Drosophila melanogaster: one gene and its partners. The protein of the gene in region 1 interacts with the protein of each later gene in a biochemical or structural test. Each region holds a gene or a part of one and is shown in the gene's direction. Other genes may lie near its edges.

The links. Proteins that work in one complex are often made in the same cells at the same time.
Region 2: of the proteins of Rab11 (region 1) and pcs, one has a biochemical effect on the other in vitro, tested with the Drosophila melanogaster proteins (one study listed by BioGRID).
Region 3: the proteins of Rab11 (region 1) and sau form a complex in vitro, tested with the Drosophila melanogaster proteins (one study listed by BioGRID).

Annotation. Positions count from the first base shown.
Region 1 is NT_033777.3:21,109,799-21,116,658, forward strand, and holds Rab11 (Rab11), read left to right. Parts: upstream 1-1,609; 5' UTR 1,610-2,017; coding exon 2,018-2,057; intron 2,058-4,147; coding exon 4,148-4,269; intron 4,270-4,954; coding exon 4,955-5,303; intron 5,304-5,452; coding exon 5,453-5,586; 3' UTR 5,587-6,348; downstream 6,349-6,860. Other genes in the region: rtet (tetracycline resistance), read left to right, coding at 221-396, 454-759, 818-909; ppan (peter pan), read left to right, coding at 6,506-6,835.
Region 2 is NT_033778.4:14,979,674-14,984,266, forward strand, and holds the start of pcs (parcas), read left to right. Parts: upstream 1-1,589; 5' UTR 1,590-2,108; coding exon 2,109-2,150; intron 2,151-4,593. Other genes in the region: ckn (caskin), read left to right, coding at 1-12.
Region 3 is NT_033779.5:2,224,370-2,231,603, forward strand, and holds sau (sauron), read left to right. Parts: upstream 1-1,972; 5' UTR 1,973-2,699; coding exon 2,700-2,912; exon of another isoform or gene 2,913-2,936; intron 2,937-2,994; exon of another isoform or gene 2,995-3,235; intron 3,236-4,896; coding exon 4,897-5,024; intron 5,025-5,087; coding exon 5,088-5,206; intron 5,207-5,268; coding exon 5,269-5,444; intron 5,445-5,508; coding exon 5,509-5,757; 3' UTR 5,758-6,730; downstream 6,731-7,234. Other genes in the region: papi, read left to right, coding at 1-157, 210-316, 375-871; CG15387 (uncharacterized protein), read right to left, coding at 1,429-1,632, 1,690-1,836. UniProt on the Drosophila melanogaster protein: Phosphatidylinositol-4-phosphate-binding protein that links Golgi membranes to the cytoskeleton and may participate in the tensile force required for vesicle budding from the Golgi.

The DNA of each region.
Region 1 (6,860 bases):
ACTGCAAGCCACCCGGACTTGCCTGACTGGTTTGATAGACACTATTATCATGCCGGGTTCTCGGACACGTTTGTTTGATTGCCTTATCAGTTAGTAAATTCTAGATTGCTTTTGATTAATTGTAGTTACAGGGAATTGAGTCCAGTTAGCTAGAAGATTATTACCAATGATTATGTCTGGATTTTACAATCATATTTCAAAAGAATTCTCCCACTGACAGATTTGCTGCCATCAAAAATGTGCCTAAGAAAGACATTGCGGCACTGCGATCCATTGGCCTGGTATACTTCTTGTATCTCTTTCTGTATTCCGGCTTGGAGTTCACCGTCACATTTCTGATGTACCACAAATTCGGTTACACTTCGATGGATCAGGCGAAGATGTTTTTGACAACGGGTATGGAGCAAGTTGATAATCTACAATATTCCCTATCAAATTTGTGTCTTTTTCTAGGTGTAATCATGACTTTGCTGCAGGGATCGGTGGTCCGACGGCTGCCCGAGGCGAAGATCAAAGGCTATGCCATCTTCAGTTTGTACCTGATTGTACCCGCCTTCGTAGTAGTCGGCCTAGCCGAGGGCAGTCGGATGCTGTACGCCGGCATGACCCTGTTCGCAATCTCCACAGCCTTCGCTGTCACCTGTCTGACCACCCTCGTATCCAAATACGGAAACGATGACCAGAAGGGTTCAGTACTGGGCATATTCCGCTCACTGGGAGCTTTGGCTCGAGCTCTGGGCCCCGTGGTGGGATGCATTGGTGAGCTCCTCAGCTGTCTTAGGATTATACCTTTTCTAAACTCTTTAATCCTTAATAGCCTTCTGGTGCGTTGGCTCCAGGATCACCTATATAGCCGGCGGACTTCTGCTCATTTATCCAGCCATGGCCTTGCAACGCGCTCGCATTTAAGTGCAATAGGAATAGAGTTTTTAAACTCACTAGAGATCAACGGAAGTATTAGCTGCACATTATACTTAATTTATCGTTTTTTACAAGTATTTTATATTAAAATAAACACATTTTTACTCTGATTTGTAAGCAGGGGGTTTTTACTTGGGATCGAAATGTTTTCTATTTAATTAATTTTTTTAATAAGATAATATTAGAAACAGTTACTGCTACTGGGAGAACGATTCTGTTTAGGTTGGAACGTTTTAAGTATTCAAGACATTTTGAGTTGGAAATAAGTTAAATGGGCTAGGGATAATCCCTAGAAAATGTGTTCAGCTTTTTTAAAATACGATAGGCTTGTCGGGATGAAACGAGAGCAGTTCATGATAATTCGTCGTACCGTCTGGTAACTCTAAAACATCCATCTCGTTAATTTAGTGATGCAAGTCGATGTGAAAACATCGATAATGATATAAGTATGTTGGTGTTTTAAAATAAAACAAATAAGTTTTTTAAATAGGAAACAAACATTAGATTTATTTTCTAGACCTAATGTGTTTTAATTATGAAAAAATTTAATTCTAATTCTAAAGCTTTTGAGTATAAAACAATGTTCATATAAACAAAAATAGAAGTGACATTGTACTATCGCCTTACATCGCCATTAAGAAAATCGATAAGTATCGCCGAAATAATGTCGATGTACCGATATTTTTCAACATCTCTAGTCTCGTTGGAAATATAACGTGACGTTATTGGGAGTGACTAAGTTTTCGTGTAAGAGAAAATTGCAAATAAATGCGCTGCAAGCAGCTGCAAATCTCCAATTAATACTGCTCCAATTGCCGGAAAAGTCCTGCCAGCATTTTCGAACGCATCCGAGCTGGAAGAGCAACCGATTTCGCCACTTAAATACTGATATATACACTTTTCTCTTTCTTTACAACTACAACTGCAAATAAAAGTGTAAAGTGTGTGAGCCGACGACAAACGCATTAAAGAAATCGGCGGCGCGCAGGGATTATTGGATTTCGTTTAGCACCCGCACACACAAAACAAAAAGGACGGAACTGGATTTCCAAAGGATATCGAACCGAGCGAGCGATAGCAAAACAAATTGAGCAAAATGGGTGCAAGAGAAGACGAGTACGATTATCTGTTCAAAGGTAATTATAAACATGATACTAGCCGCTGGTCGAAGATCGCGGAAGGTTGATCAGGAGGGGAGGAGCCGCACTTCCAGGCTCTCCTCTCCCTGCCGTGAGAGACAGTGGTTCAATAGCACTAATTGAAACTAATTGGAGAATAACAAAAAGTGCACTCGAAGAGCCCAAAGTTCATGTGATGGTATGTGGTGTGTTTGTTTGCGTGAGTGTCATTAATTCCCAAAATAAGAAGTACGCCCCCCGAGTTTGTTGTTGTTGCTACTGCTGCAGTTGGATGCCCTTTGGTGGCTCTCCCGCTCTCACTCTGCCTATCTCCATCTCTTTGGGGTACTCTTTCGGACTGGAGTACGCGTACTTTGCCGTTAACTGCTTGTTTTGTCATTACAGTGCCGTTGGTCTCGCCACGTTGCATACAAAAGCCAAGCAGATCGTATTTATAATCGCTCGCTCTGTAAAGTAGGTTTAAGGCTTGCCCACCCACTCGAAATGCTAAAGTGATTAGATATCCAGTAAATAGAGCGAGAGTGTGGGTATTATGATTTCTGTACAGCTGGCTTTTGCAATGGTTTCTTGTAACTTCGTTTAGTAGCTCTCTCTCACGCGCGCTCTCTTTTTCACCCGCTCTCGATTGAAAGTTTGAAGCACAGTAGAGCAAAATGATGTATTTGCAGGTAGAAAACAAGACTTTTATCCCGCATCTTCCCCCGTTTATGTGTAGATATGTATGAACAGAGGTCACAAATTCTCAGCTCTTCTTTGTTCCCTTCGTTTGCTACTACGCCATAAATTCCAATTGCGCTTGGAAATCTCTGCTAGCTATCACAGCTGAGCAACTGTTGAATGTCATTAAAAAAATATTTAAAACTTAATCTGCCGTATTTTTTGGGTCAAGTATACAAAAAGTTAAAAAAAAAGTCATCATAATAATGCGTCAGTGTGCGGTATGCATGATGAGGCCTCAAATTTCACACATGAAACAATATTAAACGGACATGACTCACAGCCAATAACTGCTGAAGAATTCCACTCACCGATAAGCGCATAATCACATAACTGAAAATGGGCCGTTTCGGGTTATTCGAGCCAATCCCACTACTAAGTAATGACCGTCGATTACCACTCCTCCCCTTTTAATTTCTCATCGCATCCGCTTAACTAAGTGCAATTTCTCTTTAAAGATCGTTATTAGCGCTGAGAAAGAGAGTAGAAAACAAAGTGACTCAGCTCTCTCGCTGATAACTGTAACCACGCTGCTCCCAGCTGTCCACACTGAAAGAAAACCCTATACCCTCTAATTTAGCTATCTAAATTAAGTCAAAAACTTGGACTTAGCTCAAAAGTCGTTTCAAATATTTAGTTCCTATCTTAATGGCATTGCAATCGAAACTTCGAACTCAAGAATCAGTGTTCATATGATACCATTTTACTATTTGAATTTTCTCCGTGCAGCGATGACCATAGCGATAGAGCGAAAAGGTGTTTGATGAGTTATAGTTGTTGTTTTCTGAATGGATTAGCAAACATGCTGAATCAACAATGTCCGAAAAGGGTGTCAAAAATGGAAACTAATAGACAGACAGTCAGTAAACACAGTGTCTAGATATCAGTTAATATATATTATAGCCAACAACTCTGGCCGCACATAAGAAAGTTTATCAAAAAGAAATGGAGTCGTAAAAAGGTCAGTGGATAGTTTTTATCGGGTAGCATATCAACTTGGGATGCTTGTTTGCTCCCTCAAATATCCGCCACTCAATTATCCAAGAAATGTTTGCTATCGGCAATGAAGCACAATAACACGAACTCCCTAACGTCGACTGGCCCAATCATAAAACATTTCTTTCCATGGCCTGAAATCCCCCGAGCATGGCGGTTTTATGTACTCGCTGACCTTGGTGCGCCGTGCCAGCGGCGAAAGGAGGACATGACCTAGCCGGGCCACCAGCGACCATTCTGTCCGGCCGTAAAACACAAGACAGGGGCCATGCCACGCCACGCCACACCACACACCCACATAAATTATGCAACTGGGGGTCTTCGATTATCCAATGCCAATGTCGATGTCACTAATTCCCTCTAATCCTTTGCAGTTGTCCTTATCGGTGACTCCGGTGTTGGCAAAAGTAATTTGCTCTCACGTTTCACGCGCAATGAATTCAACTTGGAGTCCAAGTCGACGATTGGCGTTGAGTTTGCAACGCGCAGCATAGAGGTGAGTACGCTGGCCAAGAATTCGAGGGTGGAGTGGCCCATGGAGCTCCACCCCCACACATCTACCGCACCGCACCCACAGTGGGGGAAGTCACGGGTGAACTTGCGTGTGCGTTTCGGTGGGAGGACACGTAGTTGAGGCGTCTATCGGAAAATTGGGGGGAAAAGTTTGTTCAATTTGAGTAAGTGTCGAGAATTTCACTAAATAATGGATTGCCAATTGGCTTTCTTGCATAATTTCAAAAGCCATCCTACGGGATTAGCCAAAATGTTGACATCATAGTTGTCACTTGTGCTGAAATAATAAATTTATGTGGTCAATAACAATTATATATTACGTATGTATAAGGATTTGTGTTAAACAATACTTTGTGCCATCTTTTCGAAGTAGCTTAGTAGGTCATCTTAATATTTAGTATATCAAATGGGTTCAATGAATATAACTTACGCTACTTGCGTTTTTTCTAACTAGTGTAAGAAATTTCAAAAATTGGGTTCTCTTACTAGAGTTAAAAGCTTATCCATAAGCTCTAATTTATGTTGGTTATGTGTGAATACTGAATGCCAGTGCTTGTATATTAATTTTCAAAGCGAATGCGCCGCAGGCATTTCGTGGCGAAATTGCCAATTACTGGCACCATTCTAATGCTGTCCTTTGTTTCATCCTTCTTGTGCATCCAACGCAGGTCGATGGCAAAACAATTAAAGCGCAAATCTGGGATACGGCCGGCCAGGAGCGTTATCGCGCCATCACCTCTGCCTACTACCGCGGTGCCGTGGGGGCCCTGCTCGTCTATGACATTGCCAAGCATCTGACCTACGAGAACGTGGAGCGGTGGCTGCGGGAATTGCGCGACCATGCCGACCAGAACATCGTCATCATGCTGGTGGGCAACAAGTCCGACTTGCGGCACTTGCGCTCCGTGCCCACGGACGAGGCGAAGCTGTTTGCCGAGCGCAACGGCTTGAGTTTCATAGAAACCTCGGCCCTCGACTCAACGAACGTTGAAACGGCATTCCAGAACATACTCACAGGTGGGTCGTTCAGGATATTTTAGCTAGTCTGCTTTCAAATTATCGATCGTTTAAGAATATTTAAATACTGTAGATTAAACGCTTCATTGAAAGTCAATAGATTAATGATAACGAAGCACGACTAATGATGTCTCGTAATCCCGTTTCAGAGATCTATCGCATTGTGTCGCAGAAACAGATCAGAGATCCGCCGGAAGGCGACGTCATCCGCCCGTCGAACGTGGAGCCCATCGACGTAAAGCCGACTGTCACCGCCGATGTGCGCAAACAGTGCTGTCAGTGACCGCCCCAAGCAATTTTCGCTATTCCCCGCAACCGCCAGAACAGCAACATAAACAGAAGCAACAGCAATTACAACTACGACTACAAGAGGAGCAGCAGCGGCCAGAACTGCAACACCAAGATCAGGAGCAGCGTACACCCGATGGACCGCACAAGATGTCTATGCGTTTGTCAGCCACAGTTTGTCATGTGCGCATAAATTGATAATTCAAATCTGAGCCGCCACTCTCCACCACCAACACCACCACCATCATCAGAAGCAGCAGCAGCAGCAAAAGAATCGAAAGCAACAACATCCGGCTGTAGTTAACTGCGGTTTAAACTGAAGTTTTATATATATACAGATCCATGAGTATCGCATAAATCGACCGCCGCGGAAAGAAAGCAAGCAAAACTAAACACTCCAAATTCAGTTTAAGCTGTAGAACTATAATTTATATAAATATACATATATGCTAATATTAAAATATTAATATTATTAATTTTTCGCAACATAAATATATAGTTGTAATTTCGCGAGCAGAACAACAACAAACAACCGGAAATTCTTCGACTTAAACGCAAATTCATTACCACAGCACTGCAGCTCGGATTTTCTTCTTCGGTTTCTCGCAACATTTTAAACGATTGGCCACTTGGTAAAACTAGCTGATAAAGAGAAATCAAACAAAAACAGTTGTAAAACTTTAAATGCATAAATGAAACGAAATAACATCATTTGTGTTTGCTATGTTAAGTGTGATTAAATAAATATAATTTAAATAAAACAGAAGTGCTTTCAATTGGGCGGAAAATCGAAATTTAAAATGGGATTAGAGTGACCAAAGGCAGACGTCGGAGTGGGTGTTTGGTATTTTCCGCGCGAGCAGCCACACTGATCCATACACGTGCGGGAGAAAAGTGAACAAAAACATTGAAACATGGGCGGTAAGAAGAAAGTGCATCCGAAGACGCGCACGGCGGCCTTCAAGGCCAGCGAGCCGAGCGAGATCGTGGAGGCGCCGCACTCCTTCGTCATCCATCGCGGCCTCGCCTGTCCGTACATCACGGACCTCACCCTGGACTTCCGCCGCATTATGGAGCCCTTTACGGCCAGCAATCTGCGCGAGAAGCGGATGAACCGCATCAAGGACTTTGTCAGCCTGAGCAGCTTCTTCCACGTCTCGCACATGGGCATCTTCAACAAGGCCTCCACGCAGCTGTCCTTCAAAGTGGTCCGCTTGCCGCGCGGTCCTTCCCTGACTTTCAAGGTTTGTTTGTTTCATCGCTTAGTTT
Region 2 (4,593 bases), on another chromosome or scaffold:
GACAGTGAATAAATCTCCAATCAAACAACAAATCGTAGTGTAGCTGAATTTAGAAGTTGTGGTGTATCTTGTAATGTTTTATGTACTTCAACTTAGTTAAGTTCAATTTGTTTTTGTATTTCTTATTCCAATTGCGTGTGGAGAAGCATTTATATTGGATCGTATTCTGTATCATTTCGATATGCACACTGTGTAGTAAAAAGCAACTACAACTGAAAAGCTTTGGACAAACCATGTATACTTTTGTACTTTTCCTAAACTCTCCTCCCATTCCCGAAACTATGAGTGTTAACAATACAAAATGAAAATAACCAAGTAAAAGAATGGTAAATGAAGCGCAACATGCATATATGCAGAACTTGCATAGTTATTATATAGCATAAAATATATATAATTCGATATATAAATAAATATTTAAACGAAATCATTTATATGGACAAGTATTTAGTGGTTTGATACTATACGACAGAGGAGGAATCAACAAATAAACCACACGGCACACTCTTAAACAAACACAATGAAAGTCAGGCAAGAACTACTATTTAAAGATCCCATTCAGACAATTTCAAATTGTATTATTCTAGAATTTTGTACCTTAGTTCTTTGTTCATTTTTTTCAAATCACGCTGCACAGAAATGTTTCTTTTTGTTATGATTACAACTAAAATCAAACTATATGAAATGAATGTATAATTAAGTGTTATTCCATACAAAGTAAAAAGATGCATTATATAAAATATAAATCTTATATTAGCGTTAAATTAAGAAATCAAAAATAAAAGAAGGAAACGAATCCATCTTTATAAATTATGTTTAATCGGGCATTGATGCTGAATAACGTATGAAATTCCGTGGTATACAACTGAATTGCCTTCTTCTTTATAATTTACATAAATAAAAATCTTTTAGTGAAAATTTTGTTTTTTGAGAGTATTTTCGGTTTTCTGTTAATTGCGCTCAGTTAAAAATATGTTTGGTGCGCATATCATTAGAGGAAATTGGAGTATTCGATTTATAAACGCATATAAGGAAAAGTAAACAAATTAAATACGAAAAAATCACAAACATGTAAAGCACATAAAGGGCAAAACAAAAATGATGAAAACAAATAACAAATAAAGTAAACTTTCATAGTAAAATGTTTCTGGTTTTAATGCATATTTTGTTACTTAGTCAGACCTATTTATTTATATTTCATTAATACGTATTTAGCAACTTTAACAAAAATCCTTTTTGAAACAAAATTTTTTTAATTATTCATAACGTTACGAAGTGAATCAACTACGTAACGTGATGTGATGGTTATGTAGATGAGGCATATGACGTAATGGTAAGAGAAAATACCAAGCCCGCCAAGAGTAATTTTGAAGACTAATATGTTAACTTAGCATTTTTTTAAATATAAATTGTTACATTATCAAACTGGTGCAATGAAAATCAAACATTTTTTTAATTGTTTATTTTTCTTGAAAATAGTTGGCAACAATGCCAGCGTTGTAATGAAATATACCAATACAATAAAAATACCAAATGTTTATTTCAGCAACTGCTGGTCAGCATTTCACTATCTGGTAACACCGCGCTGCGGTCACACCGAATTCAGCTTCTCATTTCGTCGCGTCTGGACGCGTCTTTAATTTTTAGGATAGTTTAGCCTTTATAAGCGAGTTAATTAAATATCTTAGATGCCCCGAGCGAAGGAGAAGGTGAAAAGCCGCGTGCCCTGTCCACTTGTACCGTTCGTCTTGTTCACACTTAATGTAATCGCCATGTGTCCCTTTCCCTTTTCGCTTTTAACTTCGTTGTGAAACATAAGACGCAAAATGAAATATTTGTTTTAATACTGCTGCTGTACCCGCATAGCAAATTGCCAGTTAAAATTGCCAACACCAATTTACATAATATTATAGAAAAAAACACAGAAAAAAAAAAGAAAAACAAAACACACAAGCAAATTGATAGTCGTGGGATGTGTCTGTGTAGCAACGAGATCAAATAGTGAAATGCAAAAGCGTTTTTCAATTGAAAAGCGGGCTGCAGAAAAGTGAAAATTAACGCGTTTAGCGATATATTTGCATTTGGAACGAATTCAGTGAAAACCAGTAAAAATGTCGAGTGCAGAAGACGGCGAGCTGGATCCCCAAATTCAGGTGATTTTCCTTCGGCAATTTGCCTGCTGTCCTTCCTATTTTCTCCCCCTCTCTCTCTCATTGTATGCCTCTCTCTTTCGTACCTGGCACTGAATGGAACGGTATTTTAATGACAATAACAATATTCAGGCTGCTTTGTTTTTGGTTTGCTTGCTAGTTCTCTCTATCACCTGCTCTTCTTTGCAGTGCAGTTTTTGTTGGTACAGTGCATACCCGATTCGGTGAATTGTGAAGACCGAGGGTATCCACTGTACCAAAGTGATAAATGTGCACCTAGATTTTCATACAAAAATATGTTTACAACTTACAAGCAAAAAACATAGAGCACTGTATTTTGGAAATAGGAAACAGGCGTTTTTGCATTGCATTTCGTTACTCATTTATTGCGTGAACCTTTTTTACGCTTTGTTGGTTTTCAAAAACGATACAACAGCAAAAACCAACACAGAAAATCAATTTACGAGCCATTTAAGCAAATTGCAAGTTTCCTTTTCCGACGAACTATTCAATATGCATTGTAAAACCGAAAACAATACAAAGTGCAGGAAAAAAGGGATCACAAAGGGTGTCAAATAATCCCACGCACTTCCAAGTAAACTGGTTTTTTTTTTCTTTTTACCCGCAACGGATTTGAACTCGGTACCTAAATGAGATTCAAGTGCAACTTGGTTATTGCTCTTTATCTTTCGCCCCTTCTTCTTTGCTCATCTCTTCGCATTTTTGGGAGAGAGGAGGAGGTATGCATACAAATTTAATAAATGGAAATACCAAAGCGCACACGCAAGCCAAAGCAGCAACAACAAAAAACAAACACGCCTTTGTTTCTATTTCGAGTATTTTATATATTATTGTGTAAGCCAGACAATTGAAAAGTGTCTTGAAGCGCAAGTCGCAGTTTTTGCATAAATCAAGATTCATATGCTGCTCATTCAACTGCGCAAAATAGTCGCACACTCGCCTAATAGCCTTAAATGGGCAGGAAATAATACGAGTCTGTAAAAATAAAAACTCAAATCGGATGAGTATAGTGAAAAACACAATGTTTCCAAACCGTGATCAATAGGAGAATATATTTATGTATATGAGTATATAAGTATAAAATGGTTATTCAAGTTAAAAACACCTTTATCCAGGGCGATCAATCGAATGGTACGTCCATTGTGAGAATACCCCCTACATAGACAAAGGAAAATCCCGGTGTAGACCTACAATAATTCCTATTTTTAAATGCAAAACTTAGTGGGAGAGACGCCACACGCGGCGCAAAGTCATTAACAACAATTTGATTTCGAACCCAGAAGACAGACGGCATGTGACTAGATTGGATTCGTCGATAATGTCCGAAAGTACATATGTATAGGTATGGGAAAATGTGTAGGAGATATTCACTTTGTCTATAAACAATCTTTAGTGCGGCTCTATAAACCAAATACAAAACTGTACCGAAACCGGTTAAGAATTCTACGAAAAACCGCATGCTACATTATACAAAAAAACGCGAAATATTTTGCTCCGCCTATTTTTGCCTTCTTTCTCAATGTTTTTATGCTCGACTTCCTCTTTCGACAAGTCGACTTTGTTGTTTTTTTGCCTTCGATTTGCCAATGATTTATCAATGAGCATTTGGCGTTCTTCTTTTTTTTTTATTTTGCGCGTGCAAAATTTCTTATCTAAAGAGATGTTTTCAAGTTGATGACGCCAAACAATAGACAAAGAATAGGCACCGCGTCGATGTCGCAAAGTCTATTTAACCAAAAACGTGTGTCCTAACAGATGTTTTTTGTAAACAATTCCACACGCGTCAGTTAACTTAAAAATATGGTCATTTGCGTGCTACGGATTTGTTTTTCGAGCCCCAAACTTTCTAATCTCATACCAATCCACATCAAAGCGTCACTTATCGATTAGATGATAATTGCTTTATTAAAAAAACAAAGGGGCCTTTTTTTACGATAGAAATTAGTGAGAAAAGCTTTGTAGCAATTTAAAAATAAATTAGTAGCCTTGCCCCATTTGATAATTAGATTAGCAAGGGAAACTTTATGTGCAGGTGAATTTGATAAAAAATTATAAATGACTAATGAAGTCGGCTATCTCTGGTCTCAGTTACGTAAGCAAGGTGAGAGTACGGGTATCGCGAATTAGAGAACTCGATCCAGGCGTCTATGAATCAGAAAATCGTGTCCGAAAAGTGAGTCAACGTCTACTCTATATATGTAAAAATATACCGTAAAGGTGTCTCCCAAAAGTGTATATGATATTCTTTATGCTTATCTTTTATTGCGAATACGAACTTGTGCTTATATCGCAAGATTATTTATGTGCATACAATACAAAGTTCATAACCAGTCCCGATAAAAACTGCATTTAATACTACATAGCACTCTTCATATTTGATGAATAAGTTTGCTCTCATTTATTTATTATTGAGTTTACTTTTTAT
Region 3 (7,234 bases), on another chromosome or scaffold:
ACGAGAAGTGGTATCGCGCAGAAATCGTGGACATTATGCCTAACCAGTACAATCCAAAGGAGCAGGTGATCGATCTCTACTTCGTGGACTATGGAGATAGCGAATATATTTCGCCAGCTGATATCTGCGAGCTGCGCACTGATTTCCTCACGCTCAGGTAAGCAGTTCGACTGATTGGATAGACATAAATTTATATTTCACTATTTTAGGTTCCAAGCCGTTGAATGCTTCTTGGCCAATGTAAAATCTACCATCCAGACGGAGCCTATTACGTGGCCAAAGTCTTCAATCGCAAAGTTCGAAGAGCTGACAGAGGGTATGATTTCAGCAACAGTTGCTAGATATATTTTTGACTAAACACCGAACATTTGTAGTGGCACATTGGAGAAAGCTGATTGCTCGAGTGGTGACCTACAAGGAGCGTCCACGGGCAACCACCGCTGTAAGTGCTGCTGCCAAGGAGGGAACCCCGCTGCCCGGAGTGGAACTATTCGATCCAGCCGACAACTCTGAACTAAATATTGCCGATCTGATGATCACCCAGGGCTTTGCTCTGCCCCTGGACGATTCGTATCCAGTGCGGTCACGCTCCTCGACGCCCTCAAGTAACAGCGACTCCACCATTGAGGAGTTGTGCGTCAGCAATCCAGTGACTCCGCTTACGCCCCACTCACCTATGTCGATGTCCATTGATGTTGACAGCATTACGCAGGCGGAGAACGAGCACCTCGCCCAGCAGCTGCAGCATTTGCAGCATAAACTGAACGGAAACGACATAAAAAACATTAATCCGGCTAAACTGACGGCTACAGACCTCGAAAACGGGAATAACAATAATGCCAGCACCACAAATGGTGCTAGCGCGCATTAGGATTTCACATTGTTACTAATTATCCTCGCCTAATTGTTTATAAGATGAAGGCTGGACGAGCAGCTCACTACTTGACGTGTACATAAAAGTATAGCTCTTAAGGAACTTATTGTATAGGTACGAAAGAAAACTGTTTAATTTATCGCCGTGACTGATCGACATATCCTAGATCCTAAAAGCTGACGATGGAACGGCACAGATCCTTAATTGTTTATAGCAACCTTTGCCATGTTACTTATTGTTAGCAAGAACAAGAAAAACATTTGTACATCAACAAAAAATACACAAAAAAGATCACAAACTTATCAAAAGAAATGCATTTTATAAGAATATCAAGCTTAAGTCTATTTTGGTGGCCTGTTTCAGAAATCTGTATTAGAGAAGTATTTCAATATTCTTTGAAAATAAGATTTTCTAGATGACGTTAAGGCATAATTGAAAATGAATATAGTTTCTTCAAATGAAAAGGGCTACAAATATTAAAAGTCGCTTAAAGTATATTAAAAAACCCACCGGGGGGCAGAATTGCAGTCTTGTTTGGGGGATTTACCCCACGCTTAGATTAGGATGTCGTTGGTGGTGTTTATAGCTATGGGGGGCAGGTATATGGCGCGGATCTGACTGCGCAGGCGTACGATTTCCATGTCGTCCCTTTCCATTTCTCTGATGAGCTGGGAGAACTGGACTAATCCCTCGCGGTTTCCAGGAAACCCATGACCCTTAATGACCTCCAGTTGGAGTTGCATCACCAATGGAAAAACCTGCAATGTATTATGTTAAACTATTTGGTTATTTGTTTTGATTTGCTTGGTATTTACGTGCTGCATCATGAGAATCATCTCTTTTCCAGCGGAAGCCTTTGCCTCTGAGAGTTTCTTCGAGTTTTCCGGCTGATTTACACAGCGTATTATGTCCATAAGAATTTGCTTGGCAGTATCACTGTTGAAATTGGTCAAGTAGGACATTATAAACGTTTTAACGGCAGTGTTTGTGACGAATTTAGGCAAAATGCAACAAATTGTAGTAGGTTTTATTTTGTGTTTCCGTTAGAGATGAGTCATACAGCGATTACAACTATCGGACAAACTATCGGTTCGGATTCATAACATTACCAAACCCTTAGTATGGACAAGGAACTGTAATATCATTCAAACAAAAACTTTACGATTAAATAAATTAAGCTGAATTACAAAAAATTAAGAGTAAAAGTTAAATTAATTTCGTTTTAACAGCACCTCTAGAAGCAAAACGTTATCCAACACTTAAGGTCTGGAAAATTGCCAGTACTGAAAAGTGCGGAAATCATGTCACGTCGGAACGTCGACAAAAGACACAAATAATAGGAAAAAGCTTATTTCGCGCAGGCACTCGCATATTCCCAGTAAATGCAAGGCCAATGCAAATGCACCATTAGTACGGGCCACCAAATTGTAAATCAAACCGTCGAGTTCCCAGCGCAAAAACGCCGAGCAAAGCAGCAACAACGAAACGCAGTTTAGGGCCTGCATTTTTGCGATAGTGTGAAAAGTGCGTGTGTGCAAAAGAATACAAAATAAAGGGGGCGCAAAAGAGTCAGTGAAAACAACAACACACAAAAACACAAGACACAAGTACACAGAGAAAAACGCAAACACCCGCACTCGCGCAAACAGACACACACACACACTGTGAAACTCCCAACGTCGAGTCAGCAAATTGTGCCACACACACAAAACGAGGAAAGAGGAAGAAGAGCAGCAGCAGAAAAACATAGGTGCTCCGCTCGCATCCCACATCTCCAAAACTCCATCGATCCGAACTTCCCGACTACCCAACCCAACTCTCCGGAATGAATCGCTCCGACGGATTGGTGCGTCGCTCGGTGAAACCCCGCGAAAACGGTGGGGCGGAGGGTGGGTTGAATGCCAACACGCCGGACGACAACCAGGATGCACTGGACAACCTAAAGGACCAGGAGGACAATATCGACGATGGCGACTCCAAGGAAACACGACTAACGCTCATGGAGGAGGTTCTGCTGCTGGGACTCAAGGACAAGGAGGTGGGTGTGCTCCTTATCTCTTATCTGCTTGGGATGCACTAATTAATTGGTTTCTTTCGCAACATAAGTGCTTCTTCTTCACCTGTTAACCGACGTCTCTCTCTCTCTGTCGCTCTCACGATTTCTCTCTTTCGCAACCTCTTGCTTGGCCCCAAGTGCAACGCAGTCCATCTTCCAGCAGGGGCGTAGTGAAAATTGGATACAGGGGGGTAACTTATCACTTCAGTTATGGGGGCAACAATGTTTATCTGTCCTACAGATAAACATTTTATGCCATGTCTTAGCCACTTCTCTTAGCTTTTCCAGTTTGTTAAGCAATGCACTATGAAATCTTTTGACCAGCCTGCTGACTAATGCGCAATCAGTGAGACTGCCAACACCATTTTCTTAACCACTTTTGTTTTTGCATTAATTAATAGTGTGCTCCATCTGTTAAGGTCTAATCAGCCGTTCATTCTAATCTATAGAACCCATTACTTGCCCTTTGTAATACTTTGATGTACTTCCCAAATAAGTGATGATATATTTATATATAGTATATAATAGGTTTATTTTATGTGTTACACTATCGCGCAATTGCTTCCAGTGCCAAATCAAAAAGATTCTTAGAATTGTTGCCAACGTTCTTAGTTGTTGGAAAGATAGCGCTCTAATACTTCTTCGGTTGGCAGTTGTGGCTATAAATACATACATATCTCTTCGAGAACTTCACTCCGCGCAGCACGGAGAACGGTTTCGTCAAACGAGTTTTCCAATAAGTGGTTAATTTGCATAGGTTTGTAATATTCATAAATCTACGTATAGCGCGGGATGATGTCCGTAAATGCGAACCATCATCCATACGTGACCCATTATGGCGAACAGGCAGATTCGCATTTCTCCATTGAATTCGGTTTTTATATTTCACTTGGCACACAGCTTTATCGCTCAATTGCTGTTCGCTTGTACCACATAGGAATGCACACATGTGCCTTTGTGGCTGGCACCACGTCTATTTGTTTTCATCATTTTGCCCGCAGTGTATTTGTGTGACCACCCACACCTCCATCCCTGCCACCTCCTCTCCCTTCGCATAAGAGGGATACGAGCTGGAAACAGTGGGACGTGTTGCCCGCTTTTGTTTTACATTCCCCTTCCGAGCGCTCTTATCGCGAAGATTTTGTCCATTTGGTTAATTGTTTGAGGAAGTACATACTATCAAGTGCTGCTCTCCTCTGCCTAGCTCTCATCCGTTTCGGGCTTTTCTTATGTCAGTACGTCACTCATTTTCGAAATTATACAAAGTACTTGGCTTCTACCCACACCATCCATTAGGAAAATTTCAATATCTCGAACTGCCGAACTGATAAGCGACGTGTTCTTTGCAAATGATTCACTTTTATACCTTTCGTTCGGAACGATTCCTTATCAATCATCTGAGCGATTGTTATATAAATTATTTTAAAATCGTGAAATGGCATTGAAACGTGGTTGAGGTATCTATCTATACCTTCCAATTATCATAGCTTTTCAAGCGTTAATAACAAGAGTAATTTTTGTAATTGATTTTTTATGTGGTTATAACATAACTCTTCTTGTTCGTTTTTTCATTTATACTAGCTAGATAAGCATTGTATTTTTTAAATTGACAGTTCATACACTTCTGTGGGCAAGGCCTAAACAAACTCAAGTGTTTAATGTTTTAACAACTGAATACTTTCGTCTGGGAGCTTTACGACCCCGGCAACAGGGTAATTATTCATTTCTTTTACGCCCAACACAAGTGAAAAGGCCAAACCATAGACTTGCTCAAATATATTTCAAAACCTTGAAACATGAGACAGTAACCATTTGTTAATGAAGTTTGTACTTACATTTATGTTAGATAGAATTTAATAAAATTTTAAAAAATAAACAAGTAACGCATTCACACATTCTTATTTTTAGATGCCCATCCAGGCCAATCAAATAGCTTGAATCTAATAGCATTTTTAATTACTTTCAGGGCTACACATCTTTCTGGAACGACTGCATATCAAGCGGCTTGCGCGGATGCATTCTCATAGAGCTTGGACTGCGAGGTCGCGTGATGATCGAGAAATCTGGAATGCGGCGACGTGGTCTATGTACAAGGTATGTATAGAAATCTAGTTTCCACATCCTTTCAGAAGCATGCTAACTTCAATTCGCCAACAGGAAATTAATACTGAAATCGGATCAGCAGACGGGAGACGTTCTACTCGATGAGGCACTTAAACACATTAAGGAAACAGATCCCCCGGAGACGGTGCAGAGCTGGATTGAATATCTTAGTGGTGTGTATTTAGGCGCCTGCCATTTCGCCAAGTATGTTTTGTATAACCTATTGTTGTGGCAGGTGAAACCTGGAATCCGTTGAAATTGCGCTACCAACTGAAAAATGTACGCGAACGTCTGGCCAAAAATCTGGTGGAGAAGGGTGTGCTCACGACGGAAAAGCAAAATTTTCTACTCTTCGATATGACGACACATCCGCTGAGCGACAATGTTGTCAAATGTCGCCTGGTGAAGAAGGTGCGTAACTAGACTTGGATATATTCAAGAATTCTAAAACTGAATCCGAAATGTATGACTTCAGATCCAAGATTCTGTGCTCTCCAAGTGGGTCAACGATCCACAGCGCATGGACAAGCGGATGCTGGCGCTTATCTTCCTGGCGCACGCCAGCGATGTGATCGAGAACGCCTTCGCGCCGCTGAATGATGACGACTATGAGGTGGCCATGAAGCGGGTGCGGGAGCTGCTGGATCTCGACTTCGAAGCCGAGTCGGCCAAGCCGAATGCGAACGAAATTCTGTGGGCGGTGTTCATGGCGTTCACGAAATAGACGATCCTCTGATCCTCTACGCTCCTCTCAATAGCACACACACACACACAACACACACCCCAACACAGAAATACAGACCCACATCTGGAATACATTTTGCTGCTTTTGTTTTAGAAACTTTGCTGTGAGTGGAACCGAATCGGGCGATAGGATTTTCTTAAATGGCAACCACCCCAAATATCTGTTTCAGTAATATATATTTTTTAAGCGAGACTATAAAGCAGCCATAATTCCTATTTAAATATACATATGTTTATCAACACTTCAATAATACCAATCAAACGCTCCATTGTCCTTTAATTTTTTCCTGTTCTGTTGAGCATAATAATACATGCCAATGTTTTGCAATCATAATCAGTAAGTTGTGTTCCACGACACATAGAGTTTAGTTGATGATTTCTCTGGCAATGCAAATCAAAATGTATGATGGAAAATTTAAAGCTGCAGCATTGTTTTTGTAATTATATATCTAGCACTAATTGTAAGCGCCAACAAGAAAACTTTGATAAAGTCTGGGCAAGCTGCGTGCGATTGTCTATTGTCAAATATCCTATATATATTTTATCAAAACTTTTCAATTCTATTTTTGATTGTCAAGTATTTTCGAGCCCTTTCCATGTATTCGATTGCGCGTAGAAAATCAGTTCAAAACGTTTCTCGAGCTCCGCAATTTTACCTTAGTACGTTCGACCTTAAGTATGCACCCACCCACATGAACAGACAGACATGCAGACAATTTGACACGGAGCGACATTCAATCTAGGCAATGTTTTAATTTAAATTGTTATTGAATTTCGGGAACATTGAAGTTGAAAAACCTTTTCTAACTGCTAAAAGAAAAATAAAGAACGACAAGAAGTGGACAGCAAGAAAAGAAAAATTATGTAAATGTAAACTGTGCACGTCAAATAATACTAATTCTTAGATATTTAAAGGCCTAATAAAATACAAATATAAAATATATAACTGACGCAAAATTGAAAGTTTATTGCAATTTCGGTTGTACCCCTCCATAAATCAGAGGAAAAATATAAAACATTTAATGAAAAATGGGTGATGAGTTTTAATAAAAGGGGGAAAGCAAAAGTGGACAATCGTCGGAGGAGAAATAGGATTCTTTCCGGTGTGACGACCAATCCGATTTAACTTATCTACTTGAAAGCATAGCCCAATTTTTGATTCGCTTTTTAATACAGTTTTTATTCCGTTTTTCATTCTCAATAAATGTGTTTTTGTTTTGCAGTGTTTGCATTTCTTTCGATAGTTGAAGGGGCAATATACCATATAAGTCGAGTAATTCTCACACGAAACATTTAGGTTATAATATAATAATCTTTCAATGACATAAAGTATGATAAAAAGCAGGGCGCAGCGCACAAATTATTGCAAAAATACATTAGGCCAAAAAGGATGTGAACAAAGAAGTGCTCTTATACTATCCGTTAAATCAACTAGCAGTTTTCAACTGTGGAAAATT